Pelodiscus sinensis: one gene and its partners. The protein of the gene in region 3 purifies or fractionates together with the protein of the main gene of each other region. This does not show direct contact. Links are inferred from orthologs where the notes say so. Each region holds a gene or a part of one and is shown on either strand. Other genes may lie near its edges.

The links.
Region 1: the proteins of ARMC8 (region 3) and MKLN1 purify together in Homo sapiens (affinity purification with mass spectrometry; 4 studies listed by BioGRID and IntAct, with this or other methods). This does not show direct contact. The link is inferred for Pelodiscus sinensis from reciprocal best matches to the Homo sapiens genes ARMC8 and MKLN1.
Region 2: the proteins of ARMC8 (region 3) and RMND5A purify together in Homo sapiens (affinity purification with mass spectrometry; 5 studies listed by BioGRID and IntAct, counting the BioPlex papers as one, with this or other methods). This does not show direct contact. The link is inferred for Pelodiscus sinensis from reciprocal best matches to the Homo sapiens genes ARMC8 and RMND5A.
Region 4: the proteins of ARMC8 (region 3) and MAEA purify together in Homo sapiens (affinity purification with mass spectrometry; 5 studies listed by BioGRID and IntAct, with this or other methods). This does not show direct contact. The link is inferred for Pelodiscus sinensis from reciprocal best matches to the Homo sapiens genes ARMC8 and MAEA.

The regions. Positions count from the first base shown.
Region 1 is NC_134711.1:7,867,777-7,875,147, forward strand, and holds the start of MKLN1 (muskelin), read right to left. Parts: upstream 3,012-7,371; 5' UTR 2,989-3,011; coding exon 2,876-2,988; intron 1-2,875. UniProt on the Homo sapiens protein: Component of the CTLH E3 ubiquitin-protein ligase complex that selectively accepts ubiquitin from UBE2H and mediates ubiquitination and subsequent proteasomal degradation of the transcription factor HBP1.
Region 2 is NC_134715.1:122,882,985-122,889,934, forward strand, and holds the start of RMND5A (E3 ubiquitin-protein transferase RMND5A), read left to right. Parts: upstream 1-3,947; 5' UTR 3,948-4,371; coding exon 4,372-4,513; intron 4,514-6,950.
Region 3 is NC_134720.1:4,087,133-4,094,602, reverse strand, and holds the start of ARMC8 (armadillo repeat-containing protein 8), read left to right. Parts: upstream 1-4,467; 5' UTR 4,468-4,681; coding exon 4,682-4,726; intron 4,727-5,043; exon of another isoform or gene 5,044-5,099; intron 5,100-7,470. UniProt on the Homo sapiens protein: Component of the CTLH E3 ubiquitin-protein ligase complex that selectively accepts ubiquitin from UBE2H and mediates ubiquitination and subsequent proteasomal degradation of the transcription factor HBP1.
Region 4 is NC_134715.1:120,927,952-120,935,888, forward strand, and holds the start of MAEA (E3 ubiquitin-protein transferase MAEA), read right to left. Parts: upstream 3,001-7,937; 5' UTR 2,954-3,000; coding exon 2,867-2,953; exon of another isoform or gene 2,779-2,866; coding exon of another isoform or gene 2,770-2,778; exon of another isoform or gene 2,704-2,769; coding exon of another isoform or gene 2,635-2,703; intron 1,744-2,634; exon of another isoform or gene 1,596-1,743; intron 1-1,595.

The DNA of each region.
Region 1 (7,371 bases), on a different chromosome or scaffold from region 3:
AGCATAACTGTAAGGACCTACCACCAATACAGAGTAATTGAGATCGCAAGTAGTCTGGGCACACTAAAACATGAATTAATCAGTTAAATGTAAGGTCACACATCGTATTTACAGGTGAGGAAACTGCATCCTGAAGAGCAGAGACTCTGTAAAAGACTTAGATCAGCTTTGTAAATAGCATCTAAACATGAACAGCTGGTGAGATGCTGTTTCAAAGAGGGTTAACAGGATGCTGGGCATTATAAACTGAACTACTGATCAGGGAGTTCATACCTTTGAAAACTGCACAATGGAGACCAATACCGGAATACTACAACTGGACATAGTACCTATCATGATGCTTCTCAATTTTTTAAAAAAGCAGAACACCTGCAAGAATGGTTCAAGATTTGGAAAGCAAGCCTTACAAAGAGTTTAGTCTATATGGCTTATCAAAGGGAAGATGAGGAGATGACTTGGTCACTCACAGCCTACGAGTATACTATATATACACAGAGAAGAGATCTGTGACACTAAAGGAATCCAGAACAGCAAAGGCAGAACCAGATGCAATAGCTGGAAACAGAAGTGATATACAGGCAGTCCCCGGGTTACGTACAAGATAGGGACTGTAGGTTTGTTCTTAAGTTGAATCTGTATGTAAGTCGGAACTGGCGTCCAGATTCAGCCGCTGCTGAAACTGATCAGTTTCAACAGCGGCTGAATCTGGACGCCAGTTCTGACTTACATACAGATTCAACTTAAGAACCCCAGGCATCCCCAAGTCAGCTACTGCTGAAACTGATCAGCGGCTGATTCCAGGAAGCCCGGGGCAGTCAGCTACTGGTCAGCGACTTGGGGACACCTGGGGCAGAGCAGCTGGGGTGTTGCCGGGTTGGTCCAGTAGCGCCCAGAGCGGCGCTACGGGACCAACCGGCAGCGCCCCAGCTGCTGTACCACAGGCGTCCGGAGCAAAGCCACGGAGCACGGGGGCAGTGGGACAGCCCAGACGCGCCGTGGCTGTCCTGCTGCCCTCCGGCTCCGCGGCTCTGCTCTGCTCCCCGTCTCCCTGGTCTGTAGACCAGGGGGACGGGGAGCAAAGCCGTGGAACATGCATGCAGCGGACAGCCAAGACGCGTCTGGGCTGTCCGCTGCCCGCATGCTCCGCCGCTTTGCTTCCTCTCCCTGGTCTGCTGGAGGCCAGGGAGACGGGCCCCGTTCGTAACTGCGGATTCGACGTAAGTCGGAACTGCGTAACTCGGGGACTGCCTGTATTGAAAGAGAGAGAACTGGAAGTAAAACACTTCATAAAAAAAATGAGTAAAAGCAATTGCCGGTGAAAATAGAAAGGATGACAACTCCATCACTAGAAGCCTGAGTCAAGACTTGATTCTCTCTAAAGTGCATTTGTGTGTAAGCAGTGACCAACCACCTGCCTGACTCAGGCCACTAACTTTTAACTGAGTTAGACTATCATGCAGGTGGTTAGCCACTGCTTACACAAACACTTTATAATGGTCACTCCGGCCTTTAAAAAAAAAAAAAAACCTGAACACTACAATAATTCAAAACTAAACTGCTCCAAGGTGTCAGAGGGGCCGGGCCGCCCATTAGTCTGCAACTTCAAAAACAACCAGTAGTCCTGTGGCACCTTAGAGACTAACCAAAACGAGTCTATTTAGTATCATGAGTGGTCATGGCCCAAACCCACTAGGAGGTTATCTGAGGAAGCGGGTATGGCGCACAAAATCTCATGATACTATAGTGATAGAACCTGCATCCTGCTTCAAAGACCTTTTAACACCAGACTTGACAGAGAATCCTCTGAACTATCATTCATGCTTAAATTCGACACTTTACGCCTCGGTCTAAACAAAGACATTAATTATCTTACCCATCACAAAGATAGCTTCCGCAATTATCACCTCTAATATCACTAGCTCACTAACATTTACCTCCCCCCTCATCCCCCTTCGGTTCTGAAATTTGATTTGTCCTTTTCATAGGTGTTCATTTTTTGGATTAAAATACAGGACTATGGAGCACTTTAAAGACTAACAAGATGGTTTATTAGATGATGAGCTTTCGTGGGCCAGACCCACATCCTCAGATCAAATAGTGGAGGAAAATAGGCCCACGAAAGCTCATCATCTAATAAACCATCTTGTTAGTCTTGAAAGTGCTCCATAGTTCTCTATTTTGCTTCAGCTACCCCAGACTAACACGGCGACATTTCTATCACCATTTTTTGGACTGTGGCTTTTGGTGCATATGGTTGTGCCAAATTTCTTCCCCATATTGATGTGAGGAAGTGGGTCTGGCCCACGAAAGCTCATCACCTAATAAAGCATCTTGTTAGTCTTTAAAGTGCTACATAGTCCTGCATTTTGTTCCAGGATAGGATCGGCATCTTTCTGGCACCAGGAGGCCACAGGAAGAATAAACCCAGGCCAGACTACGGAGTATGCGGCTCACAAAGTTTAGGCTTTTTTTTTAAAAAACTGTCACCCCCCCCCCCGGGGAACTGGCCAGATTTGCTCGCCACTGGGGCGCGGGTGAGGCGCAGACCGACCCCTACAGCCCAGTGACACCGCGTCCGCCGCCGCCCTGAGCCCGGGCGGGAAGAGCGGGCGGCCGGGCCCGGCGCGCTGCAAGGGCAGGACACGGGCCGGGCGCGCGAGGACGCGGTCCCGTCCCGAGGGGGGGGGGGGCGGGTTTGCCCCCAGCTCCGGCGCGAGGGCAGCGCCCCCCCCCCCAGGCCCGCGGCGAGGGGCGGGGCTGAGGGGGGCGCTGCGCGCGGCGCGGTCACGGGACCCTCCCGGCGGTTGGGCCCCCGCGGCCTGGAGCGCTGAGGCGGGGGGCGGACGCCGCGCTCGGCCCCGGCGCGGTCACTCACTCGGGCAGGTAGGTGGAGGAGAAGCTGCTCCAGCGGTGCAGGGTGTAGCCCAGCACCCGGCTCTCGGGCCCGGCCGGACCCGCGGGCCCCGCCGCCGCCGCCGCCGCCGCCATCTTGTCAGCAGCGGGGAAGGGGGAGGGGCGGCCGCTCTTAAAGGGGCCGCCGCCCTCCCGAGCCTGAGGGGAGCGGGCTGGCGGGTCCGTCCCTGCCCGGCAGACGTGACAGACAGACAGACCGACCGACCTACCGTCCGATCGCAGGCACAGTCGGGCTCATCGCAGCAAGGGGGCAGACTCTGCAGTCAGAGACCCCCTGCAGCAAGGGGGCAGACTCTGCAGACAGACAGACCCCCTGCAGCAAGGGGGCAGACTCTGCAGACAGAGACCCCCTGCAGCAAGGGGGCAGACTCTGCAGACAGACAGACCCCCTGCAGAAAGGGGGCAGACTCTGCAGACAGACAGACCCCCTGCAGCAAGGGGGCAGACTCTGCAGACAGAGACCCCCTGCAGCAAGGGGGCAGACTCTGCAGACAGACAGACCCCCTGCAGAAAGGGGGCAGACTCTGCAGACAGACAGACAGACCCCCTGCAGCAAGGGGGCAGACTCTGCAGACAGACAGACAGACCCCCTCCAGAAAGGGGGCAGACTCTGCAGACAGACGGACCCCCTGCAGCAAGGGGGCAGACTCTGCAGACAGACAGACAGACCCCCTGCAGAAAGGGGGCAGACTCTGCAGACAGAGACCCCCTGCAGCAAGGGGGCAGACTCTGCAGACAGACGGACCCCCTGCAGAAAGGGGGCAGACTCTGCAGACAGACGGACCCCTTGCAGAAAGGGGGCAGACTCTGCAGACAGACGGACCCCCTGCAGAAAGGGGGCAGACTCTGCAGACAGAGACCCCCTGCAGAAAGGGGGCAGACTCTGCAGACAGACAGACAGACCCCCTGCAGAAAGGGGGCAGACTCTGCAGACAGACGGACCCCCTGCAGAAAGGGGGCAGACTCTGCAGACAGACGGACAGACCCCCTGCAGAAAGGGGGCAGACTCTGCAGTCAGACAGACCCCCTGCAGAAAGGGGGCAGATGTTGCAGACAGACAGACCCCCTGCAGAAAGGGGGCAGACGTTGCAGACAGACAGACCCCCTGCAGAAAGGGGGCAGACTCTGCAGACAGATTGTAAAAAGGGGGCAGACGTTGCAGACAGACGGACCCCCTGCAGAAAGGGGGCAGACTCTGCAGACAGACAGACCCCCTGCAGAAAGGGGGCAGACTCTGCAGACAGACAGACCCCCTGCAGAAAGGGGGCAGACGTTGCAGACAGACGGACCCCCTGCAGAAAGGGGGCAGACGTTGCAGACAGACAGACCCCCTGCAGAAAGGGGGCAGACGTTGCAGACAGACAGACCCCCTGCAGAAAGGGGGCAGACTCTGCAGACAGATTGTAAAAAGGGGGCAAACGTTGCAGACAGATGGACCCCCTGCAGAAAGGGGGCAGACTCTGCAGACAGATTGTAAAAAGGGGGCAGACGTTGCAGACAGACAGACCCCTGCAGAAAGGGGGCAGACGTTGCAGGCAGATTGTAAAAAGGGGAAAGATGTTGCAGACAGACAGACCCGTTGCAGAAAGGGGGCAGACGCCTTGTAGACACAGACAGAGGGGCAGACGGTGCAGACAGACCTGTCGCGCAAATTGCAGAGGGACAGGCGGACCTGGACTACAGACATGTGCAAGCAGCCACGGTCACTTTGCAAACAAGCTACAAAAAGGCAGGCAAACGTTGCAGACAATTATGGTGAGGCAGGCAGCTCACTGAGTCTGGTCTTATCGACTGTCCCACGGGGCTGTCTCTCTCTACCAGTTTATATTGTGCTCTGGCATTTAGGCACTTCCAGGATGAGGACCGAATTGAACTCTTGTCCCCCTACACAGGGACAGACAGAAGAAGGGAAGACTCACAAACACATGCTAAGATCCAAGCCCAAATGGTTCCTGGCAGGCCAAGCGCTGCTCCCTCCCCCGGTTACAGTGTGGTGGTGTGTCTGCTACCAGTCCCAGCAATAGAGCGAGGACCTGCCTGGCACTGGACAGCAAAGAAACGGATACAAATAAACTTCACAAACAAGGCTTTGTCCCTAATGGTCATTTGTCATCACACATTGCTGGTCCATGGCTGATGTGTGCCATCTCATTTATTTCTCCTGGTGTCACAAACATTAGAGATAGAAAGGCTTGTTAGACAACCAAGTCCATCTTCCCTTGGCCAATGTAGGATGGCATTTGTCTAGTCTAAAATCTTTAGGGCAGGGTCCATTTTGTTCAGCTCCTTGATAGATTATTACACAACCTAATGCATCTCAAATTCAGAGTGATAGCTTAATTTTTCCCTTTCTTAAGGTAATTTCATTCCTTTACCTGCTGGTACTAAACTAAACAATCCCTCTTCTTCCCTAGTCATCACTTAGCCAAGTAGGACACATTCTGTTGTTTTTCTTTGTTGAGAAGTCACTCCTTCCAGTGCCAAGAATTTTTTTATTTAGCTTCCCTGAATCCCCTCCAGTTATTCAATATTAAGAGCATTTCTAATTTGCTTTACCATAGTGCCTAGAATCCCTGCTCATGGACTAAGACCGCAGGCACTGTACAAACAAGAAGGACAGTCCCTACCCTAAGCAACTTACAGGTTGGTCCACAGCACTTCAGAGAAGACCTTTTTACCTCCCTGCTCTTGACTGTGTTATTCTTTCATACAGTTCACCTTAGCATTGGCCTTTTCCTTATGACCAAATCACCAGGGCAAATTCACAACTAACTTGCTATGTAACAGCAATACTGTTTTGCAGATTTCTCCCTTCCATTGAAAATCTGTATTTCAAATCCAAAACTTGAAGCTAGGCAAACTGAGGCTGGAAATAAAGCATTTTGAACAGTGAAAATAATTAACCGTCATGGGAAAAAATGACCAAGAGCTGTGATAGATGTTCCATCACCGACATTTTTTTTAAATTCAGATTGGATGTTTTTCTAAAAGATCTGCCCTAGGAATGATTTTGGAAAAGGTCAATGGATGGTGATAGACAGGAGGGTACACTAGATGATCACAGTAGTTCCTTCTGGCCTTGGAATCTATTAAAGGCTGAATTTCACTGCATTGTTTGCTGAACTTCTGTACTTTTCTTTGATCAGCCCGTGTGTTAATTCTGGGCTTTCCACACTTCCTCACAGTTTGAGTCATCTGTAAATCTCATAAGTGTGCAGGGTTAAGCTTGCAGAAGGTTTTCCAAGGTTAGAGAGACATGCTGGTACTACCTACCTAGGTGTTTCTATGACCCACATCACTGTTTGACCCCCCCTCACAATCATTAATAGGTTTTATCCTCATAACACCCCTTGAGTGTTGTGTTTACCCAGGATTCTTGAGTCCCAGTCCAACACCTTCCTTGCTACACTGACTCTATCATCCATTAAGGTTGCCAGCCCTCCAGAATTGCCCTGGTGTCTTCAGAAATTAAAAATTAATCTTTAATTAAAGACTATGTCATGCAATGAAATCTCCAGGAATATGAACAGCCGAAACTGGCAACCCTATCATGCATGTATTGTAATATAGAGACTATATAGAGACAGAGGCTAGGTCTACATTGCAATGTTAAATTGGAAAAAAAACATATCTTTCTCCGATTTACTTTAGAAAGAGGCTATTCCAAAATGTGGCACGTCTATATGGCACCAAATTTTGGAAAAAAGTGCTCTTTCGACATATCCCTTATTCCTCGCAGAATAAGGTTTACAGGGATGGCGAAAGAGCGCATCCGTTTTTTCGAAAACATTTTCGAAAAAGCAGACACATTCCTTGGACACAGCATAGCTTTTCCGGGATACCAGAGATATCCTGGAAAAGCAATGCAGCCTAGACGTAGCCAGACAGAGTGAGAATTCATTCTTTCTTCCTCTTCCAGCCAAAAGAGCTGCAGCCCCGAGTAAATTCATTGGACATGATAATGGTGATGTGCAGAAGATACTACCCACTGACTGGTAGATCCTGTGGCTCTATCAGCTGATGTTATGAGCTTTGTTTCTGTGATGCCCCTAGTAAAAGGTTATGTTTGATATAGGGGTTGGAATGGTGAATTTACAGGCACCATTGAACTTGCCCAAGTAAATAATACAATGCAACAGCTCCTCCCATACATCTAGTATCAGTGCAGAAGGTGGTAGAACTTCAGCTAGGAAGAGGGCTACTAATGAATTTTTGTTATTTGGGTGTGAAGCATTGTGTCCCCTCTGTCACCCACAGCATCACAAGCTAAGGAAAGAGCTTTTTTACTGTTATTGCTCCTTTATTATTGATGGCTCAAGGGTTTTTTTTTAAAGGGGGATTTTAGTTGGCTAGCTGCAGTGACTGACAGAGCAAAGCAACCCAAAAGGTTATGAGCTGATAAAACTTACGATCAGTTTGGGTGCGTCTACACTGCACCGTAACTCAAAATAAGCTACG
Region 2 (6,950 bases), on a different chromosome or scaffold from region 3:
AAATATCCTGAACATTCATCTACCTGAATTGAGGCCCAATCAGCCTAAACAGGAGAGGAATAAGTCAAAGAACTCTTAAAAATCCTCTATTGCCATGAACTATTCAGTATTCTCTTGTCACAGCACCAGTGCTGACTCATTCAATTTATCATCCAATACAGAAAATAAACATAGGCAAAAAATTCAAGCAAAGCAATCTGCAGTTACTGTCATTACAGCAGAAGCCCAAGAAGATTGACCACTTTGACAGTGCAGTGGAAAAAAACCAACTGAAAATAAAAAGGATGAATTAAATACAGTAAATAGAACCAGACATAATGGCCACATCTAGATTGCATCCCTTTTTCGTAAAAGGGGTGCAAATTAGACATATCGCAATTGCTAATGAAGCGGGGATTTAAATCTCCCCCGCTTCATTAGCATAAAAATGGCAGCCGCTTTTTTTCAGCACGGAGCTTTGCTGGAAAAAAGCGCCAGTCTAGATGCGGATCTTTCGGAAAATAAAGCCTTTTCTGAAAGATCCCTTATCCCTTATTTTAAGAGGGATAAGAGATCTTTCGGAAAAGGCTTTATTTTCCGAAAGATCCGCGTCTAGACTGGCACTTTTTTCAGGCAAAGCACCGTGCCTAAAAAAAGCGGCTGCCATTTTTATGCTAATGAAGCGGGGGAGATTTAAATCCCTGCTTCATTAGCAATTGCGATATGTCTAATTTGCATCCCTTTTATGAAAAAGGGATGCAATCTAGACGTAGCCAATAGGAATACTGCATTGCTGGAACTAAGAATTTTGCTCCAGGTTCCTTAGCAAATATTTTCATGCCTATGGCTAACTGAATGTGAAGTATTTAGTGAAGACAGAATAAATTAATACTAAAGCATAACTTGAGACTCCTGTGATAAAATTTAGCTACACTGCCACAGAGGATGGAGACTCATGAGCAATGCCTCAGTTTCCCCACCAGAAAAGTAGGATTATTAATATTCTCTGTGAACTCCAAGTAACTGATGTTAAAGGAATAGGATGAAGTTTTCAAGCAGGGTTTGAAAAGTTCACCAGCTATCAACTTGTCAAAACATTAAACTCACTAGACAAATCCAAAATAAAACAGGGGGGTAACACACTATTCAAACTAATAACCCAAGGAAAAGACAGCTACCATTCCTCCAACTTGCTGGAAAGGGAAAGGTGCTGGGATTCCTACCATGGTACTGTCCCTTCACCATAATCAAGAGCACCATCTTTCATGGAAGCCTCTAGAGGTCTAACAGTTTTGAAACCTCTCTATACACTGCCTCCATAAAAGAAGCATTTTCTACCAGCCCGTGACCTTGAAGTTGTTCTATTAATCTAGTCTCATCCTTCCTTCAGACTCTTGAATTTCCCTCTTTAGTAATTTCTTTTGCTATTGCTCAGTGTTTTTCCGAACAGCAGCAGGGTCAAAGCAACATAGTTCTTGTCAGTTCGACCCCTACATACAGGATTCTGAATAGCAACATAAAAGCTACTTAAGTTCTGGTCTCATTTAAACTGCTGTTGTTTGAAAAAGCTCTGAGCATGGGAACCAATTGCAGATTCACATAGCTAGCAGCAGTAAAGTGAAATGAATTACATAGCACCCTACCAAGGAATGTGACGAGATGGAAATAAGATTGTGGAAGCTTGAGTAGACAACATAGGTCAGGGGTCCCCAACGTGGTGCCCGTGGGCGCCATGGCGCCCGCCGGGGGATTTCTGTGCGCCCGCTGAAACATCTGGGCTGGCCCCACCCCCAGCGCGCGGCACATGCATGGTGCTGGCTCCAGGCGCGGGACGCATGGGCGGCCCCTCCCCATGGCGCGCGGCACATGCGCAGGGCCGGCCCGGGGCGCATGGGCAGCCCCAGCCCCGGCCCCAGGGCACATGTGCAGTGCCGGCCTGGGGCGCGTGGCTCGTGGGCAGTCCCGGGCGCGCGGCACATGCGCAGTGCCAACCCTGGGCACATGGCTCGTGGGTGGCCCCGCCCCCGGGTGCGCGGCGCAGGCGTGGCCCCACCCCCGTGTGCCCGGCACGTGAGTGGCTCTGTCCCCAGGCACCTGGCAGCCACGCAACGTTGGGGACCACTGATGTAGGTGGTGTTAGGGTTGGATAGGGAAGTGAAGTGGTGGGCGATGAAGATCCTTTAACACAGTGGTCACCAACCAGTAGATTTTGATAGTCTGGTAGAGCTTAGCACGTCTGACAGGTGATCCTGACTGGTTTGGCCAAGAGGTTATCAAGCACAGCACTTCAGCGCCTCCCACCCCCAATTGCTGCACATCTCCTCCCCTTTGCCTTGGAGTTGCCTCCCCCTCCAGGAGCCTCCTGCTTGTTGTGCAGAGGAGGTAAGAGAGAGGAGGGGTGCTAAGGTCAGAATGCTCCCCTGCCCTCCATTCTATCTCCACAGAATGGAAGGGGGGGGGCACACAACAGGGTTTGGGATAGAGAGAGTTTGCTGGCTGCTTTTGGGAGTGGTGCAGGGCCAAGACAGGAATGAGCCTGCCTTAGCCCCATGGTACCACCACCCAGGAGCCACCTGAGGTAAGCACTGTACACCTGAAGCCAGCTCCAAACCCTTGCCCCAGTCATGTACCCCCACCTACATCCCAAGCCCTTACCCTAGGCGTGAGCCCCCTAGACAGAAATTCCCTTATAGAGCCTATACCCTGAACCTCCCCTCCTGCAACCCAACACCCTACCACACATTGGCTACGTCTAGACTGGCATAATTTTCCGCAAATGCTTTTAACGGAAAAGCACTTTTTGTGGAAAAGCGTCCATGCTAATCTAGACGCACTTTTCTGCAAAAAAAAAGCCCCGATAGCCCCGATCGCAAAAATGGCTTTTTTTGCGCAAAACAAATCTGAGCTGTCTACACTGGCCCTTTTGCACAAAAGCTTTGCGCAAAAGGGACTTTTGCCTGAATGGGAGCAGCATAGTATTTCTGCAAGAAGCACTGATTTCAGACAGTAGGAAGTCAGTGTTCTTGCGGAAATTCAAGCAGCCAGTGTAGACAACCGGCAAGTTTTTCCGCAAAAGCAGCTGATTTTGCGGAAAAACTTGCCAGTCTAGACGCAGCCATTTAGTTCAGAGCCCTTCTCGCACTCTAAATCCCTTAGCCCAAGACCAGAGCCTGTGCCCCAACCCTCTGCCCTGCCTGGTGAAAAGGAGGGAGAATGGAGGAGGCAAGGAGGACTGAGTGAACTGAGGCAGAGCCTTGGCAAAGAGGCATAAAAGAAGTGGGGCAGGGTACTTGGGCTGGAGGTAGATTCTGGATTGCATTTAAATTTTAAAAAGCCATCTTGCACTTATAAAAGTTGGCGACCCCCCCCCCTGCTCTCACAGGTCTTGTCTCCCATTAGCGGATGCAATGCGGCACAATCCTGACTCCAGAAACAAAATACAGGACTATGTAGCACTTGAAAGACTAACAAGATGGTTTATTAGGTGATGAGCTTTCGTGGGCCAGACCCCACGAACGCTCACCACCTAATAAACCATCCTGTTAGTCCTGTATTTTGTTTCAGCTACACCAGACTAACACGGCTACATTTCTATCACCCGAGTCCAGAAGGCACAGCTGCTGGACTCCTTGACTGCCTCTGCCTGAGCCAATCCCCTAGAGATCAGGGGTTTTCCCCCATGGCAAGCTACAATGCCCAGGAGAGCCGCAAGCACCGTCACCCCGACCCCTTCTGCTTGCAGCTGGGACTGCACAGGTACCACCGGAGGCGCCCCTGGCACAGCGCGCCCCGCGCAGGATCGCTCCCTGGAAGGCTCCTCGAGGTCACTAGTGTCCAGCGCTACGCCGCGCCCCTAAGGGGCGCTGGAGTATTTATACGTGCACGTGACCACCACCACCTCCTCAGGCCCCGCCCCAGCCTCGCGCCCTGAGCTTCCCTAAGAGCGGCCGCAAAGCAGCCAGCGCGTCTGCCTAAGGAGCTACCCGGAACACAGCGCAGCCGAACCCTGCCCCCGCCCAAAGACCCAAGGTGGCTGTGGCACTGCCTGAAAAAAAAAAATTCCGCCCAGGACTCCGATCGCTGCGCCCGCACTAAGCCAAGCTCCGGCTATCAGTATGGGTCGTGGAGTAACAAACCACCATAGCACCCCAGCTGTTTGAAACAGAGCCCTTCTGTGGACCCCGACTGTCTACTGTGCCGCCTGAACAACAACTGCCTAAGGACCCCGGGTGCCCGCTCCGGTGCCCACACAGCCAGGGAGCCCGCTGCCGCTGAGGACCCCGGCTGCCTTGGCGCTGCCTGCCCAGCCGCTGGTAGAAGTTCGAAACAAAATCCGGCCCGGCGGCGGCAGGCAGGCCCGGCCGGAGGAGCGGCAGCCCCGCGGCGCTCGCCATGGATCAGTGCGTGACGGTGGAGCGGGAGCTGGAGAAGGTGCTGCAGAAGTTCGCGGGCTACGGGCAGCTCTGCGAGCGGAGCCTGGAGGAGCTGATCCAGTACGCGGGGGGGCTGCGCCGCGAGATCCTGCAGAGCGAGAGTACGTGCGGCGCGCCGGGCCCGCCAGGGAGCCCGATCCCGGGTCCCCTCGCCCCCCCCCCATGGGCCCCCCTCCATCCCGGGTCCCCTCGCCCCCCCCCCATGGGCCCCCCTCCATCCCGGGTCCCCTCGCCCCCCCCCCATGGGCCCCCCTCCATCCCGGGTCCCCTCGCCCCCCCCCGTGCTCCCCCCTCCATCCCGGGTCCCCTCGCCCCCCCCCGTGCTCCCCCCTCCATCCCGGGTCCCCTCGCCCCCCCCCGTGCTCCCCCCTCCATCCCGGGTCCCCTCGCCCCCCCCCATGCTTCCCCCTCCATCCCGGGTCCCCTCGCCCCCCCCCCATGCTCCCCCGTCCATCCCGGGTCCCCTCGCCCCCCCCATGCTTCCCTCTCCATCCCGGGTCCCCTCGCCCCCCCCCATGCTCCCCCGTCCATCCCGGGTCCCCTCGCCCCCCCCCATGCTCCCCCCTCCATCCCGGGTCCCCTCGCCCCCCACAGGTTCCCCGATCCCTGGTCCCCGCGCCGCTAGGTTCTTCCGGGGCCCCATGGTCTCCCCCCCATGCTCCTCCCCCATCTTGGGGCCCCATGGTCCTCCCCATGTCCCCATCTCCATGCCAGGGCCCCTCGCCCCCCATGCTCTCCTCTCCATCCCGGGTCCTCTCGCCCCCCATGTTACCCCCGGTCCCGTCGCCCCCCACAGGTTCCCGATCCCTGGTCCCCGCGCCCCTAGATTCTTCCGAGGCCCCATGGTCCCCCCCCATGCTCCTCCTCCATCCCGGGGCCCCTTGGTCCCCCCCATTCTCCTCCTCCGTCCCGGGGCCCCTCTCCCCCCCATGTTACCCCCGGTCCCGGATCCCTCTGCCCTCCAGGTACTCACAGCCCCGGGGCCTCTCCCCACAGGTTCCCCGATCCCTGGTCCCCGTGCCCCCAGGTTCTTCTGGGGCCCCTCGGTCCCCCCATGCTCCCCTCCATCCCGGGGCCCTTCGCCCTCCCCCCAGGTTCCTCCGATTTCCTGTCCCCTTGCTCTGCCCCCCCATGTTCCTCCTCCATCCCGGATCCCCCCCCCCACCATGCACTCTCAATCCCGGGTCCCCTCAGCATCCCCATCCTGGGTCCCCTCCCCCCATCCTGGTTCTCAGTTCTCAGCCCTCTTTCCCTTCCGTCCGAGCTTCTGCCCCCAGTTTTCATTTGCACCCCCTCTCCTAAATCCTGTCTGCATGACTTCCATTTGTCCTCACTGATCCCAGTTTCTCAGGCACCTGCCCGAACGAGCCCCCCTAACCCCATCTCAGCTCTTTGGGCCCCTTCCCTTTGCTCCCAGCTGTATCTGCAATAAGCCTTGGAGCTCCATGTTGTCTGTCCCCTCAGGAGGCTCACATCCCCTCTTTCCACAGAGACTCAGAGTCCCTGGGTCCCCTCCCCCCAGATGCTCCAATCTGGCTTCTTAGGCCCCCCTTTTCCCAGTCTCAGCAGCCTCTTTCACCATCATTCCTACCACCATCACCCCTTCCCTGTTTGGAACAACTCCTCTGAGCTGCCATGTCTTCCTTCTCCTTCCTGGTCCCATCACCCTGCTGCTGTTCTCTGTGATTTTTAAACACTCAAGGAAAATAAAATAGTGATTTCATAAACAGAGTGTAAAAGGGGGAAAATTCCTAACCAGTCATAACATAGAAAAGTTAAAGTAAACCGTCTTTGGACAAACTTCCTTTTTTTCATTGTCTTCCTTTCTTGCCTATACAATTTTTTGTAAAGGGGAGCAAGCCTCTGTTTACAGTTTCTTAGGTGGCATTAGGTGGTATTAAATGCTCTTGTAACTTGAGTCATAACACTGTAGTGAAGAAGTTACAAGCGTGTTTAAATTTAGACCATGGCAACACCTTACAGTTAACAGCATGCTAACCAGAGTATTTGAGCACCGTTGTTACTGTTAGTAGTGTGGGGTCCTAACAGGGCTTTCCTGACTTGCGGAGACAAGGTGGATGAGGTAATATCTTTTATTAGACCAATTTCTGCATACTGCTTGGACCGGGCAATTTTTCTGTTTCCAAGATCAGTTAAAATAATCACTGTGCTCCTTCGGGGAAACTGCGCACATCTCTGCTATGCTCTGAACGTAAACCATTTTGTTGCGACCATGGTTCTAATGATAGCATGCCATAGACAGATTCTTATTTGGGTGATGGAGGAGGCTAGCACTTCTGGTTGTGGGTGTTGAATTGGGACGAAGATTGGTCCATTTCGAACATGCCTGTTTATTCGTTAATGAATACAAGTGTTTACTCTTGGTCAGTGGGTTCTGCTGTGCCATCTTTATATTGGTCAATATGTTTATATCTTTATTCCTTTGCATTGAGTAATAATGGAATTAGTCACTGCTATTGAAAGCAGTCTTAACAGCCCGACAAGATGACGTAAACAACAGGTTTGTTGGATTTTCTG
Region 3 (7,470 bases):
TGAGGGAGTTGCCTTATGCATAGCATTATGCCTTTTGCTGGCCCTATGAAAATGTGTTGCCTGCACTTACTGAAACTTCTTTGACAGCTTCCAGTCTGCACTGAGCTTGCTCCATCCCAGAGTAGCAGGTGCTGAGCAGGATGCTCTCACCACAGGGATGGCTATGCTGTTAGAGCATGTCTATACAGCAGGGCTAAAGCCGAAATAAGCTATGCAACTTGAGCTATGTCAATTGTGTAGCTTAAGTCAAAATAGCTTATTTCCGCACAGCAGGAAGTCTGAGAGAGAGCACTCTTCTTCCAACTTCCCTTACTCCTCATAAAATGAGGGTTACAGAAGCCGGAGTAAGAATTCCTCCAGCTCAATCATTTTGACATTATTGAAATAACTGCTTATAGTGTAGACGTGTACTGTTATTTTGGAATAACGTCAGGTATTCCGAAATGAAGCTACTGTGTAGACATAGCTTTAGATATTAGAACTGAGAGAAGGGGGAACATCTCTCCTGAGGCAGGAGACTAGCAGTAGGAAACACAGATTCATGGGCATCTTGTAACAGACCCTTAATTTCTATATATACTTGCGTCAAAACCTGAAATGGACTGGAAGATGCCTGCTTCTGCATAATGGATTTGGTTTGCTTTTTAAAAGAAAAAACCTACACACACAAACTACACTGAATGAATGTTAAGGTTGAATGTCAAGGATTCAAAAGTTGGATCTGAAAGCTAAACTGGGTCCTTGCCCCTTTCAGGGCATAGAATGGATGATGCTTTCTGTTATACTAATTTCACCCTTATTCAGTGAATAGCCGTATGCCTTATTTACTGCATACCATTCAACCTTTCTCTCAGTACCGTATTTCTTATGGACAGGGCTTGACAAATCACTAAATCTACTTGCCCGTGGTGAGTAGATTTCAACCAGTCGCCCTGTTCACCGGCAGCGTGCGCATGCACAATGCGGGTCTTGCGCATGCGGAGTGCGGGGCTGGCGAGCAGATTTCACTGCTGTTTATCAAGCCCTGCTTATGGACATTCATCCCTGACTCATTGATGGTGTTGTAGTCTCTGCAAAGCAGTACAGTGACAAGGAGGGAGTCAGTTTCAGGTACTATAGTGATCATATAGCAGAGGCAGGCAAAATACAACTCATGGGGTAGATTCAGCTCAACAAGCTGCCAGATCCAGCCCATTGCCCAATGGGAGGCTTGTGCAATCTTCCTGCCTACCCTGCCTCTGCATGTTGCGTAAATTGTCTGACTGCAAGGACCATGAGCTGCTTTGAGCAGTTGGGGACAGGCGTTGTGCACTGCCTTTCCCCCCAGCACAATCTCGCAGTTCCCATTGGCTGGAAACTAATGGGAAGCTGTTTGGGCTGTGTTTGAAGTGCAGACAGTGTGCAAAACACCTGCTGGGACTTGTGGTACTCAGGGACCATGTATTTCTCTGTAGCCAGCAGCTCCAAAAAGCATGCGGGGGCATGAAAGGCAGGGACTTCCCAAGGGACCTGCTGAGCGGGAACCGTCTAGGTAAGTGCCTCCTGGCCAGAGCCTGCATCTGGGACCCCAGCTCTTCCCTCCCACCAACTCTTTGCCCCAAGTCACAACCCTCTGCACATGTGTCCTCTCCCAGGCCCAGCACCCCAAACATCTGCCCCAGCTTACAACCCCCTCCTCTACCCAAAATCCTGCCTGCACCCCAACTGTCTCAAGCTTCCTTCTGCACCCAACCTCCATCCCATACCTCACATCTCCATTAATATCATGGAAGAGTGTGGCCTTTGTCCACTTACCAAATTCTTGAAGTGGCCCACCATCAAAAATTGTCCAACCTTCTCTTACAGGATCAAGTTCAATAGCAATTTTGTGTTTGACTCCAGTGCGACCTTACTGGTGCACACTTGTGCCTGTAGTTAATGCACCTTCACCCTGAAACAGTCAGGCTAAGCAAAATCTCCAGATCCCATGAAGAGGTACAAGCCTCGAGCACTAGGGACATCCACTGTACTGTTGAGTCCTACTGACCTTGAACACATTAAGCATCTGAAAAGAAAATGAAGTCCTGGAATTGTCTATGGAAAATGGCCAACACAAAAGGGGGAGCTGACAGAGTATAATGTGTTCCCTTATTGTTGTATGGACTGTAGTGTTTGCTGGGGTCCTTAGCTTATCTCCAGTGTAGGGAGTGCGTAAACCAACAAACAGCTTCCTTTTTAAGGCCTTGGTCATATACTAATACTGCCCCAGTACCTAAGTAGTAGGGCTACATCTAGCCTGTAGAGTTTTTGCACAAAAACTCACAGAACGTCCACGCTTCTAGTGCATTTTTGTGCAAGAAAATTTACAGTAAATCAGAAGAGGGGTTTTTGTGCAAGTTATTTCTCTTTGTATGAGGAATAAGCCTTTTTGTGTAATAGCTCTTGCGTAAAAAGGTGGGTGTGGATGGGAAATGGGGTTTTTGGTGCAAAAACAGCCTATCAAAAGAAGCACAGGTGCCCTGGTGGCCATTCTGTTAATGGCAATCACAGCTTTCTTGTGAGAGCATCCATGCAGCCTGGACGCCCTCTTGTGCAAAAGCGCATTGCTTTTCCGATGCACTTTTGCAGTGTGGACATGCTCTTGTGCAAGAAGTTTTTTTTTTGCAGAAGACCTCTTCTGCAAAAAGCTTCTTGGGCAAGAAGCCTGCAATCTAGACATAGCCTAGCATTGTGGCATCCAACCAGTTCTAAAGCAGTAGCCACTGTAGTAGCTACTGCTCTAGTGAACTAGCCTTGGCTCTACCAGCCAACTAGCCATATCTGGCTAGTGTATTCGACATCCCTGCACTAATGTGTCTGGTGTTTTGAATTGCAGGTAAGCGGGAGAGTAGACGAGTCACAAGTATCATTAACTCTGAAAGCAAAATCATGGGATTGGTTTTACTTTTCCCCCCGGCTATGCAATGGCTTTGCTCTATTTGCAAACCCATCAATGAACTTCCTGTAACAGGAGCAGAGCTCTTCCAAACTGCACAGCTGCAAGCGTCTGGGGAGTCAGAGTAATATTCTTACCTGTAGTGGAAACATCTGTTTTCCTCAAGACAGGCTTCCACTTTTTGTATCTGCGTGTATTTCTTTGGTTTCAATTTCAGAGTGGCACATAAACTTAAACTCTGCTAGGAAGGCTGTAGGGGTTTCATGCCAGTCCCAAGGCTGGATAAAGGAGGAGGGTTGGTCAGATGAGTGTCGATATGCTGATTGTAAATCAACAATATGAATAAAATCAGGATATTGGCATTTGAGAGGAGTTGTTATAGAAAGATCCTGAGAATAGGATGGCTGCAGAAGGTCAATGATGAATTTATATAGGAAGATACAGCTGAAAGAGTACCTACTGCAGGTTATACAATGGAAATTACAGCTATTCGGGCATATCTGCAGAATGAACAATAAGAGAAAAGTGAAGACCCTGGTATTTGGCATAATGGATGGTCTGAATAGGAGAGGCAGACCCTATAGAGAATAGGTAGATTATATACAGCTGCTCTCTGAGTTGCGAAAGGTCGAGTTACAACCGTTCGTACTTACGACCAAAGCTCCCACGGAGCGGTCTTAAGGCGGTCCCTGAGTTACAAACGCGACCTGCGCTTACGCAGAGCGCGGTCGCATGTAACTCAATGGGGTCCGAGTTACAAACAGCTCGAGTTATGGCCAAGTGTTTGGTCCATAACTTGTTTGTAACTCGGAGAGAAGCTGTAGTAGATTGGTGTGGAGCTAGTCTACAGAAACTAAGCCACTGTACACTGGACAGGGAAAGATGGAAGGAAATAGAGAGGCATCGGACACCAATGGTCACTGAGCCCATGGTGGTTGATGATATGTCAAACTTATCACAGACCATTTGTAAGTGCATCAGTTCCTGCTCAACACTAAGATATCTTGTGTGGATTACAGAGCACTTGAAAGAACCATTCCGTTGAATGCTCTTTACATGAGACCCTCAAAAGTAATAAAGGGAAGTACATAAGGCAAAAGCCATTAATTTGCCAGAGCCATTGTCCTGTAGTAAAACTGTCCTTTCCCCCTGGTGTTTGAATCCATTTTTACCAAGAGCCCCTGTAGAAAGCCAGAATGAACGTTTTCCATCATCGATATTTTCTAGGGTTAATAGATCAAACTCTCTATTTTGCTAACTGTGCAGCTCCCCTTTCCCCTCCATTCCCACGTCATCTTTCTGTGCTGCCTCCCCCCCCCCCCGTGCTCATTCAGCTCCCTCCCCTCCTAGCTCCACTCCCCTCCCTGCGCCCCCATAACCAGCCCAGTGCTCCCGCCCCCGCTGCTCATTCCCCGCCCAATGGCTCATTCCCCGCCTTCCAGCCACAGCTGCCCGCCGCGCTCCAGCGTTGGCACATGCGCACTGCAATTCCCACTCCGAGTCAGAAGGAACAATTCCGCCCCCCCCCTCCCGTGCTCCTGAGGGCGCCAAAGGCCTCCATGGGCGCATGCGCAACGGTTGGAGCGAGTTTGGAGTTGGTACTCGCCGATTCGTTAGAGCAGCTCCGGCGGCCCGGCCGGGCGCTGGCGCCGCCCCCTCCCCCCACCCACAGAGATGGGCCAGGCTCGGTGGCGGCGGTAGCGCTGGCTGCCTCGCGCGGGGTTGAAGGTGCCGCCGGTGCCGCGCGCGCGCGCGCGCGCCCCCAAGATGGCGTGTGTGTTGGAGACGCCGCTCCGCATGAGCGTCCTCTCGGTGAGTGCCCGCCCCGGCCCGGCCCCCGCGGGGCCCGCTCGGCGGCCGGTCCCGCGCCGCGGCGCCCGGGCGGTGTCAGGCGGCGGGGCGAACCCGACGGAGCCCCTGTGGCGAGGCGGCCGGCCGGGGGCCCTGGCTCCCCGTAGCGAGGCTCTGTCCCCGCCGGCGGCGTCAGGCGAGGGCGCTGCCCTGCTGGGCCCGCGCCCGCCGCCGTGGCCTGCGACTGTCAGCGCGGAGACAAGCGGCGCGACCCCCACCCCCCGGGCGTCCTGAGGGGGGCTCGGAGAAACCACAGGCCCACGCTGGGCGGAGAGAGCCGCCACCTCTTCGCCTTCTCGGCCCTCCCAGCCGCGGCGGCGGGCTCCGGGCGAGAGTAGGCACCCCCTTGGGGAGCTGGGCGGGTCCGCCAGGGATGCACTCCGGGGGGAAATGGGAAGGATGATCGTGTGGGTGGGGAAGCACAGACGATACGAGAAATGCAGAAGAGGTGAGAGAGGAAAGGGGGAAGAGATGCAAGGAGATGCATTGGAAAATGGCATGAAAGGGGGGAGAATGTGTCTGGGGGGAGAAATAAAGAAATGAGAACTTCCTGGATAAAGACAGAAAACTTACAGTTTTAATGATCTTCTGCGTGTGCATCTCTATTTTATTATGTCGCTAATAGATGTCCCATAGCTAGATGTGGGGAAAGATGTAAGAGCCAGAAGAGCATTTCAGTATACTAACACTTTGTGTTGGATATCCTCGTTTAGAAAAACTCAGGTCTTTTCGAATTATTCTGAATTCTCTGGTTATTTTTTATATAATATATTCAGTTCTTAAGGTTGTTTTTTTTTCTGATGGAGACATGGCAGCGATACTTATTTGCAGACATGGTAGGGATACTTATTTTCAGGAAGTACTCATTTTACCTTCCTCTACCTGTATTGGGTTGAGTCTACACAGTTTTATTGTAAACCTTGTACCAATCTCTAGGGATGCAGGGCTCCTTGTTTATGAAGACTGCTGTCTGTCCAGGGCTTTTGAAGCTCCCTTGCCCTCTCATCACTGGCAAGAGGGAATTTTGTATTGGTTGCTGAAGACTGTTCTTTGTATCTCTTCTGAGTGCTCTTCTGATGACCATGCTGCTGCTGCTATCTTGCACTCTAGTGAAAAGACAAGTAGTCCTGTAGCACTTTATTTATTTATTTATTTATATATATAGAGAGAGAGTTAGTCTTTATATATGTAAAAACTTCAACAACAATAGACTAGTAGCACCTTAAAGACTAACAAAAAATGTAGATGGTATCATGGGTTTTCATGAGCACACCTCACTTTTTCAGATGACTCCTGTCACCTGGTATCCAGTTGTTGTTTTTCCTGTTACAGACTAATAACTTGGCCACCCCTCTGAAGTTTTTCTATATATGTGGTATCATGAGCTTTTGTGGGCAAAACCCACTTCCTCAGATGAGTGGAGAGAAAAGGGGGGGAAACCTCACAATTTATAACCGAAAAAGAAAGAGGGGAAGAAAAAAATACCTGTCAATTGTAGTGCTGGTGCGAATGAGGCTAATTGAGTGGTCTGGAAGTATCCTCTACTTAGCTTTTGATGTCAGTGGGATGTGAAGAGGATCATCCACTGCGACTATGTTGACATGTTGTGTTAGAATAGACAACATTTTGTCCTCTTTCAACAGCACTGGAGTTTTAGAATGAAGGAGGGGGCGGGAAGAGTCCTAGGATGAAAGCATTTCTTCTTCCTGTTGCTCTGAAGGGAGGAGATAAGACAAAATACCCATGGTAGTTGCACTCTACTGCCACCCACCAATGTGCTGGGAAAAGTGGGAGATTGTGACTAGGAAAAAAAGGTGTTGCATTTCTTACATCTTTTATAATTGGCAGTGTTATTGGTTAAATGGCAAAATAAAAGAATACGTTACCCAGCACTTCTGGGTAACAGTGTATATTACTGAATGCAAATCTCCCATATTTTAAAATGAAATGTGAACTAAAATCGTGCTTGCCAGTCTGAAATGGGTACCTTAAACCTGAAGTATCTATTTCTGTCTTAATTTTGATTATTTAGTTTTTTTAAGCAGCGTGAAGTAAGGATGTTAAGGACTAGTCAACTAGCTCGTTCCCCCTCCCCTTGCTGCCTCTATCAGAGGCGGGAAAGACGGGGTACTTCAAAGCGGCAGTGCAGCATGGAACTGCCTTTTGAAACGCTGCCTCAGCATTTCAAAGCAGCACCACATGGAGCTGACCCCAGGCTCCATGCAGTGCTACCCCTTTGAAACTCCACCACAATGTTTGCGTGGAGCCTAGGGTCAGCTGGGGACTGCCTAGCTGATCCTGGGTTCCAGCGCAGTGTGCAGAGCCCAGGGTCAGCTGGGGAGCCCCCAGCTGATCCCGGGTTCCGGAGAAATGCTGTGCAGAGTCCAGGGTCAGCTGGAGGGTCCCCAGCTGACCTGGGCTCCATGAAGCATTTCAAAGCTGGTGCCTGCGTACAGCCCAGAGTCAGCGGTACCTCCTGCTGGCCCCGGGCTGCATACAGAGTTCCTCATTCCTCCTTTGAAATGTACAAGAGCCCCACCAACATCTCTTGTACATTTCAGAGAAGGAATGTGGAAGTGCCTATCGACTAGTCGATGGAAATTCCATCGTCTGCTTGACAAGTAAATAACTCGATATTTAACATCCTTAGCATGAAGGCATGTGCTTGTTTCAGTAAAATAGTGCAAAGGTTATATGCCAGCTAC
Region 4 (7,937 bases), on a different chromosome or scaffold from region 3:
TGACAGTGCAGGAATTTAACTACTAAAACACATATCAACAGAAGACCATTATATTGACTACTTTTTTGTTTTGGCTCCCACCCGCGGGCCCCACATAAATACCACACCGCGGACCGCACACAAATGGGCTGTGCACCATATTCCGCTCGCGGACCGCATGTTGAGTAGCCATGTTCTGTACATTTAAATTACTCCTGCAGATTCAAATGAGTAAGTCACTTTACTTTCTCTTGAAAAATAATACCATGCAGAATTGCTGAAGCAGAATGGTGATGCACCAAAAATTACCACAATTCAGCAATAAGAGGGATTTTCCTTAGAAAGAGTCTTAAGCATTCCTTCTTCTTACGAAAGGCACTCTTATGGAACATGTTGTAATGTAGAGCGCTTACACAGTTACTATTATCTAGTGACTTGGGCACGAGCAAGTTCAAGGAAGGATATCAATGTAATTATGACCTCCTTTATAGTTTACTTGCATCAATTAGAGAACATTGTCAATATCCACCTATCTGTAGCAAAATATTACAGTTGCTGCCACAATGAAGTAAATTAATATTCAAGTGTTTTAAAGGCTGTTTTAAGATCTAAAGAACCAACTAGAGATGAAAATTCACTCTGTCTTTTTCACCTCTACCAAAAAATTATTTCCCTAGCATGGAGGATGGTTTGATATCTCCACAGTCAAGAACATTTAAAGGGATAAATGCAAGTGGTAACTGAATAGTGACTGTTTTGTGATTTTTTTGTAATAACTAATATTAACCAGAAAGGAAACTTCTGGAGCACTCAGGAGCTTGGGGAGAGACAAAAAGAAGTGTACATATATCTAAACATCACCTTATGACATTTAACATGGTTAATACAAGCCTGTTTTCTCACAATGTCTCATGGTCATACAAGGAATATTTCAGTCTCATTAAAATGCTGCAAAAATCCCTCATCAAGTGTAAATAGTATACTTGAAAAATATCTTAGAACTAGTCCAAAATGACTGCTATCTTCAAATGAGTGACACCTAGTAGATAGACTTAAGTGGTATAAAAAGAGACAAAGCAAACCATTGCTTTTATATACATATTGAAGAATATGAGATTTATTTAGACAATGTTTGTCAATAAATACACGTTTCTTTGTCTATGAATTTCTTAACATTGTAGCTGAATGTGGAAAGTACCTTTCTAAGGGAATTTTAAATTTAACTCAGATATTGTCAAGCCTAAAGTACTTCAGGATGACCGGGAAAACATCTTCAGATATAACATGAGAGTCAAGACAATCCCAAGAGTAAAGGGAAATAAGGGAGCAGGCTAGAATGAGGAAAGCAAGAGCAACAAACAGATGAGAAGAACACAGGAAGAAACCTATAAAAACAAACAAAAGCACATAACACTCTACATGAAAGTGAAATATGATTGAAGCACAAAAGTTTATAAAAGCTCATGATTCTATATATTTGTTAGTCTGAAACGTGCCATAGGATTACTCATTGTTTTAAAAGTATAGAATTTTGATATATACTATATGAAAAAAAAACTAGTTAAATCAGATACAAGGGATACAAAGGGACTATTAAACAGTCCAGCTCATCTCACCTCACTCCCACTTAGCCAGTGCAGAGTTAGTTCCCTACAGTAAAATCAATTGGAGCTGAATTGGTTGATCTAGCATATATATAAAAGGAGTATTCTAGATTATCAATGTTCCACCACTTCCTCTGGGAGACTATTCCCCAGTTCAACAGCTCTTATTGTCAGCAATATTTACCCTTAATATTCAATCTAGATTTTTCTTTGCTCATTTTATGATGTTCGACTATGTCACAATGAACCAACCTATGCAATTCACCTCACACCTGGTGAGTTAACACCCTTCCCATAATACTCAGTTACTACATCAGCCACCCCAACTCTTTTGTAGTATCCAGCCAACCTATATTTAACCCTTTCCTCCTCATAAGAGCTCCAATCCCTTTAATCATTTTAACCCCCCAACACTTTCTAGTTCATCTCTATCTTTGGAGAAAACAAGATGTCAAGGAATCATATTAACCCCCCATTCATCTTTTAACAATGATACGTAGCTTTAACTGTCAAACATTCATTCTAAATAATCAATACTCTCACCACACTTAAATCATTTAATTGCTCTGCACCCTCCAGTCTGTCCCCGTCACACCACTCCCCACACAGCACCCTTCAGTCACATTTTACCCCTGGCATATTCAGCTCTTTCGTTCTCCCTGGAGTCAGCCCTCCCACCCCATCAATCGCTGTCATTCCTGTCTTTGCTCAAGGGGACTCCACCCCACCTACATCTTCAAGCTCTGGAAATGCCCAGGAGAGAGGGGGCTCATATTCCAGGCACGTTCCTCAACATGGAAAGAAAGAAAATTACCCTTCCCGGTACAGCTCAAGGCAAATGGGAAGAGGCACAAAGGGGTCCGGTGAATTGGGGTCTCCCCACATTACACGCCTTGGGACCGGGGGGGGGGGTTATAATGAAGGGGGTGGGGACCTCAATTTGCCAAGCCCCCATCCCCTTTTAGCCCTGCCCTGCGGGGGCATTAATATCCTCGCTCAATCAGTACCTGGCCCTCGCCTCCCACAGGTCCCCAGGATGCCTGGCACCCACCTTGAGAGTGGGATATTCCTGCACCTTCAAAGTCATTGAGAGCTGAGCAGCTGATTCCTGCACCGCCATCTTGGATTGGGCACCAACCTCCTCCTCCCCCCTCCTCCCAGCGCAGAGCCCAAAAGAGCTACCTACAGCGCGCATTGCATGGTGGGCAATGAAGGACTTCCTCCTCCTTCCTTTCCCCCACCCCCGTCGTCCCTGCTGGAGACGGGCTGAACCAACAGATTACCTCTCCCCCTCTCACAACCGGGTGGTACAAGCCACGGAACAGTGGCGCTGGAAGAGAGGGGAGAGAGTATTCATCCAATCGTTGCATTCCTTTCGCATCTCTCCCTTCATAGGGTTTGCCCCGCCCTCTAACTTGTGAATGCGTGTTTGATTGGAGGATACGTGAGCCTGGGCGACTAGCCACAGCGACAAATCAAGAAGAGCAACGAATTCTCGTAGGCGGGGATTATATCTACGATTGACACTTGTATTTTCCAATCGGGCTATGCAGATTTTCATTCGGCCCAATCAGCATTTCCTTTCTATTTAGGTGGCACGTAAAAGTTCGTTTTTCTGGCGAAGTAAAGAGGCGGTTTTAACGACCCCAAAAGGTGTCCGGGAGGGCGGGGAAACAGCGCTGTGCAGGTTTATTGGCAGGCAAAGGAGCCAATGCGCGCGGCAGACACGGAGACGAACAAAGCGAGGAGCGAATGGGAGGCGAGCGGCGCTGTGGAGGGCGGGCTGTGTTGACACGGTTGGTTTGTGGCACGAGTTAGTGTGTGGGTAGCCGGGGGGGGGTGCCTAGTAAGTTCCGTAGGGAGAAGCGCGAGTGAGGCGGAAGCGGCGGGAAGAGCTTTAAATAGCGGAGATAGAGGGAGTCCTCGGCTAGGGCACCGCTGCGCTCGGCGGGGTAGCCACGGCCGTTGGCTGGTGTTTGCCCAGCGGGCTGGGCCGGAGGTAGCTGCCGCGCTTGGTGCCTGAGCACAGGGCGGGAAGAGAAGCTCCCTCAGGAGGCCTGATTCGCCCCCATCTTGACCAGCGGAGACAACATCAGGGGGGCGTCGCTCGCGCTTCTCCGGGCTCCAGACGTGGGCGGGCGCTAGCCAGCTCCCTTCAGCGGGAGCCTTCCGTCGGTGGCCTCGCTGCGGCTTGTGCGCCGCCCGCGGAGAGTCTCGGCAGGGAGAGGCGCACCCGTCCGAGCTGCGCCTGCAGCACTCACCCCGCGGGGAGAGGAAGCACCTGCCGCCCTCCCACTGCCCCAGCTGTGATTGGAAATGTGGCTTCTGCCAGCTTAGCCAGTAAATAGTTCTCTGTCCCCGCCCCCACTGGGCACCTGCTTGTTCAGAGGGTTGCCAGGTTTGGTTAGACTTCCTTGAAGATTAATGTCAGAGTGGTAGCCTTATTAGTCTGTAACTTTAAAAACGAGTCGTCCTGTGGCACCTTCTATGTTCTAATTGTGAGATGTTGTAGGCATAACCCACTTTCTGAGATGAGCTCGAGGGGAGAAAAAGGGGACCCTCAAAATATATAACAGGAAAAAGGTGGGAGAGTGGAAAGAAAAAAGGTTAAATATTACTCTTTTATTCCTGTGGATTCCAGAACTATCCTGAAGAAATGGCAACCCTAGTCTGTTACCATGTAAGAGAGGGTGGAACTTGTACTCTTTCTCATGGCTCCTAGAAGTTAATTTCCAGCAGGAGTAGACAGACGTATGGGAGTTTCTACAGAATCAGAACCTGATCCAGTTGTTCTTTGGTGATGCTGTGTGTATTAACAGAAACGTTCTTTATGGTCTGCAGAATGAAACATTTTGAGACTATTTTCTTTAAGATCCTACATAACATTCACCACTGGTTTCTGAGCGCTTTAGTATACTAGGGTGGGTGATGCTTCTTGGGAAAAATTTACCTCTGAGGAGTTGCCCTGCAGAATGAAAAAAAAATCAACCCCTGATTCAAAAATTGGATATGAAGGAAAAGTTCTTATTAGATGGTGTGGTGGGGTTTTTTTTAACTCCAGTGAAGTCTATGTCAAAACTCTTCTTGGCTTTAGTGGTGCAAGAGGAGGTGGTCTATGATCATGTATGTTTTAAGAAATTAACATGGTGGTCATAAGAACATAAGAATGGCTGTACTGGGTCAGACCAAAGGTCTATCTAGCCCAGTATCCTGTCTACTGACAGTGGCCAGCACCAGGTGCCCTAGAGAGGGTGGACCGAAGACAATGATCAAGCGATTTGTCTCCTGCCATCCCTCTCCAGCCTCTGACAAACAGAGGCCAAGGACACCATTTTATCCCCTGGCTAATAGCCTTTTATGGACCTAACCACCATGAAATTATCTAGCTTCTCTTTAAACTCTATTATAGTCCCAGCCTTCACAGCCTCCTCTGGCAAGGAGTTCCACAGGTTGACTACACGCTGTGTGAAGAAGGACTTTCTTTTATTAGTTTTAAACCTGCTCCCCATTAATTTCATTTGGTGTCCTCTAGTTCTTCTATTTAGGGAACTAATAAATAACTTTTCTTTATCGGCCCTCTGCACGCCACTCATGATTTTATATACCTCTATCATATCCCCCCTCAGTCTCCTCTTTTCTAAACTGAAAAGTCCCAGTCGCTTTAACCTCTCCTCATATGGGACCCGTTCCAAACCCCTAATCATTTTAGTTGCCCTTTTCTGAACCCTTTCCAAGACCAAAATATCTTTTTTGAGGTGAGGAGACCACATCTGTACACAGTATTCAAGATGTGGGTGTACCATAGTTTTATACAGGGGCAGTAAGATATTCTGGGTCTTATTTTCTATCCCTTTTTTAATAATTCCTAACATCCTATTTGCCTTTTTGACTGCCGCTGCACACTGCGTAGAAGTTTTCAGAGAACTGTCCACGATAACTCCAAGATCTCTTTCCTGATTTGTGGTAGCCAAATTAGCCCCCATCATACTGTACGTATAGTTGGGGTTATTTTTCCCGATGTGCATTACTTTACACTTATCCACATTACATTTAATTTGCCATTTTGTTGCCCAATCACTCAGTTTGGTGAGATCTTTTTGGAGTCCCTCACAGTCTGCTTCTGTCTTGACTATCCTAAACAGTTTGGTACCATCCGCAAACTTTACTACCTCGCTGTTTACCCTTTCTCCAGATCATTTATGAATAATTTGAAAAGGTTGGGCCCAGGACTGACCCTTGGGGTACACCACTAGTTACCCCTCTCCAATCTGAAAATTTACCATTTATTCCTACCCTTTGTTTCCTGTCTTTTTAACCAGTTCTCAATCCAAGAAAGGACCTTCCCTCTTATCCCATGGCCATGTAATTTACACAAGAGCCTTTGGTTAGGGACCTTGTCAAAGGCTTTCTGAAAATCTAAGTATAGTATATCTACTGGATCCCTTTTGTCCGCATGTTTGTTAACCCCTTCAAAGAACTCTAATAGATTAGTAAGACAGGATTTCCCTTTACAGAAACCATGCTGACTTTTGTCCAACAAATTATGTTCTTCTATATGCTTCACAATTTTATTCTTTACTATTGTTTCGACTAATTTGCCCGGTACTGAAGTTAGACTTACCGGTCTGTAATTGCCAGGATCGCCTCTAGAGCCCTTTTTAAATATTGGTCCAAGATTTAATAGTGCATGTATATGAAGCATCCATGACTTTGCTGCCCTTCCTGGTTAAGGTTTGGCTGCATTATTTCTGTTAACCTTTAGAGAATTGGATTTAATGAAAAACACATTTTACAAGAAAAAGAGGGTAGTTTGCATAATTTTAAAACTTTCCAAATATTCTTCAGTAAAGACTATAAAATACATTACATTTTAAAATGTTACCTAATAAATAACAAATGTTTTAAACAGGACTTTGTACCTCTTTTAGACACCGCAGCTGATGATGAAACATCCATTACAGGTTGTAATTAAATTTACCATAGAGTCTAGGATTGGCCACAACCAATCAACAGGATTTTAAGTTATTTATTCTCTCTCCACTAAGTGCAAAGTCCTGTTGAAAATCACATTAGTTAAAATGTGTTAGCTAGTTAAACTTCTAATTTACAGTGCTTGTCTGTGCTCTCATTGAGATGTCATAAGGCATCATAAGTTCTAACAACAACTGTCTGACAAATATTCCTAAAATACATAATTAATATTAGGAAAACCAAATGTGTACACACACAAGCCCAAATCATTGTGATTTATTTATGTAGGGTTTATTTTTATATTCAATATTGAAAATAATGTATAGTTGCACTTTGGTGCCTCTAGTCCATGCTACCTCCCATCACCTCTCACCCTGCTTCTTCCCCCAGCCCCCTGTTTTTGAGGTTCCACTTATCCTACCCCTGCTACCCTGAGATTCTTTCCACAGACTCTCACCCGACTTTTTGCCTTGACCTGGTATTCTGACCCTACTGAAAACAGCTACCCTGGTTTGGAGCCTGCCCCTAGAGCTCCGCAACTGAATCAGTGGAAGGACAAAGGGGTTGGGGAAGTGGAAGACTACCTGTGGAGCCAGTGGGCACTGCTAAGAGAGGCTGCTTCTTTGCCTTAGTCTCCTGGACAGAGATAGGGGATTTAGTGGCCACCACATTTGAGAATCGCTGCCCTAAGGGCAACTGAGTCTGCATGAATGGACATTGATTGACTTTATTGAGGCTCCAGGCGGGTATAAGGCTTTCAGTGGGTCAAGCTGAAAGATCGGAGCCTCAGGTAGATAATTTGTGCACACATGCACATTTACGTAGCACTGTTGTGTTCCTATCTTCACATAGCTATGAAATGAATACACATTTTGTAAAGATTCTTTAAGCAAACTTTTATGCTAGACTACGTGAATCCTGTAACTAACTAACTAACACTAATGGAAAGGAAAAATTAGCAAAGGGTGGATATTTTGTTGTAAATTATTAGGCCATGTATGAAATAAAGTTATTTAATATTTGATATATATTTTGTATGTAGTTTATTTTCATGTGTATATATTTAATTATGTCCACTAATCTTTATTGCACCATACTTTTGGTATGTTATTTTATGCTTAATGGTGATCTTCTACAGTATGCAAAATGACAGTACTTCTCAAACATAAAGTAATCCTATGAATGTGTGCAAAGTGAGCCAACCTTTGTACTGTAGAACTATTGGTGGATGTTTGTCAGAAATTAGCAATCAAAGTTTGAGGTTTGCTCAGTGGAAACAGATGGCTGAGCTACCATCATGTCACAGAAAACAGCATGCATTCTTAGTTTAACACAAGAGGGAGCATGTCTAATCTTTAACCTTTAAATATTGCAACTTCAGAA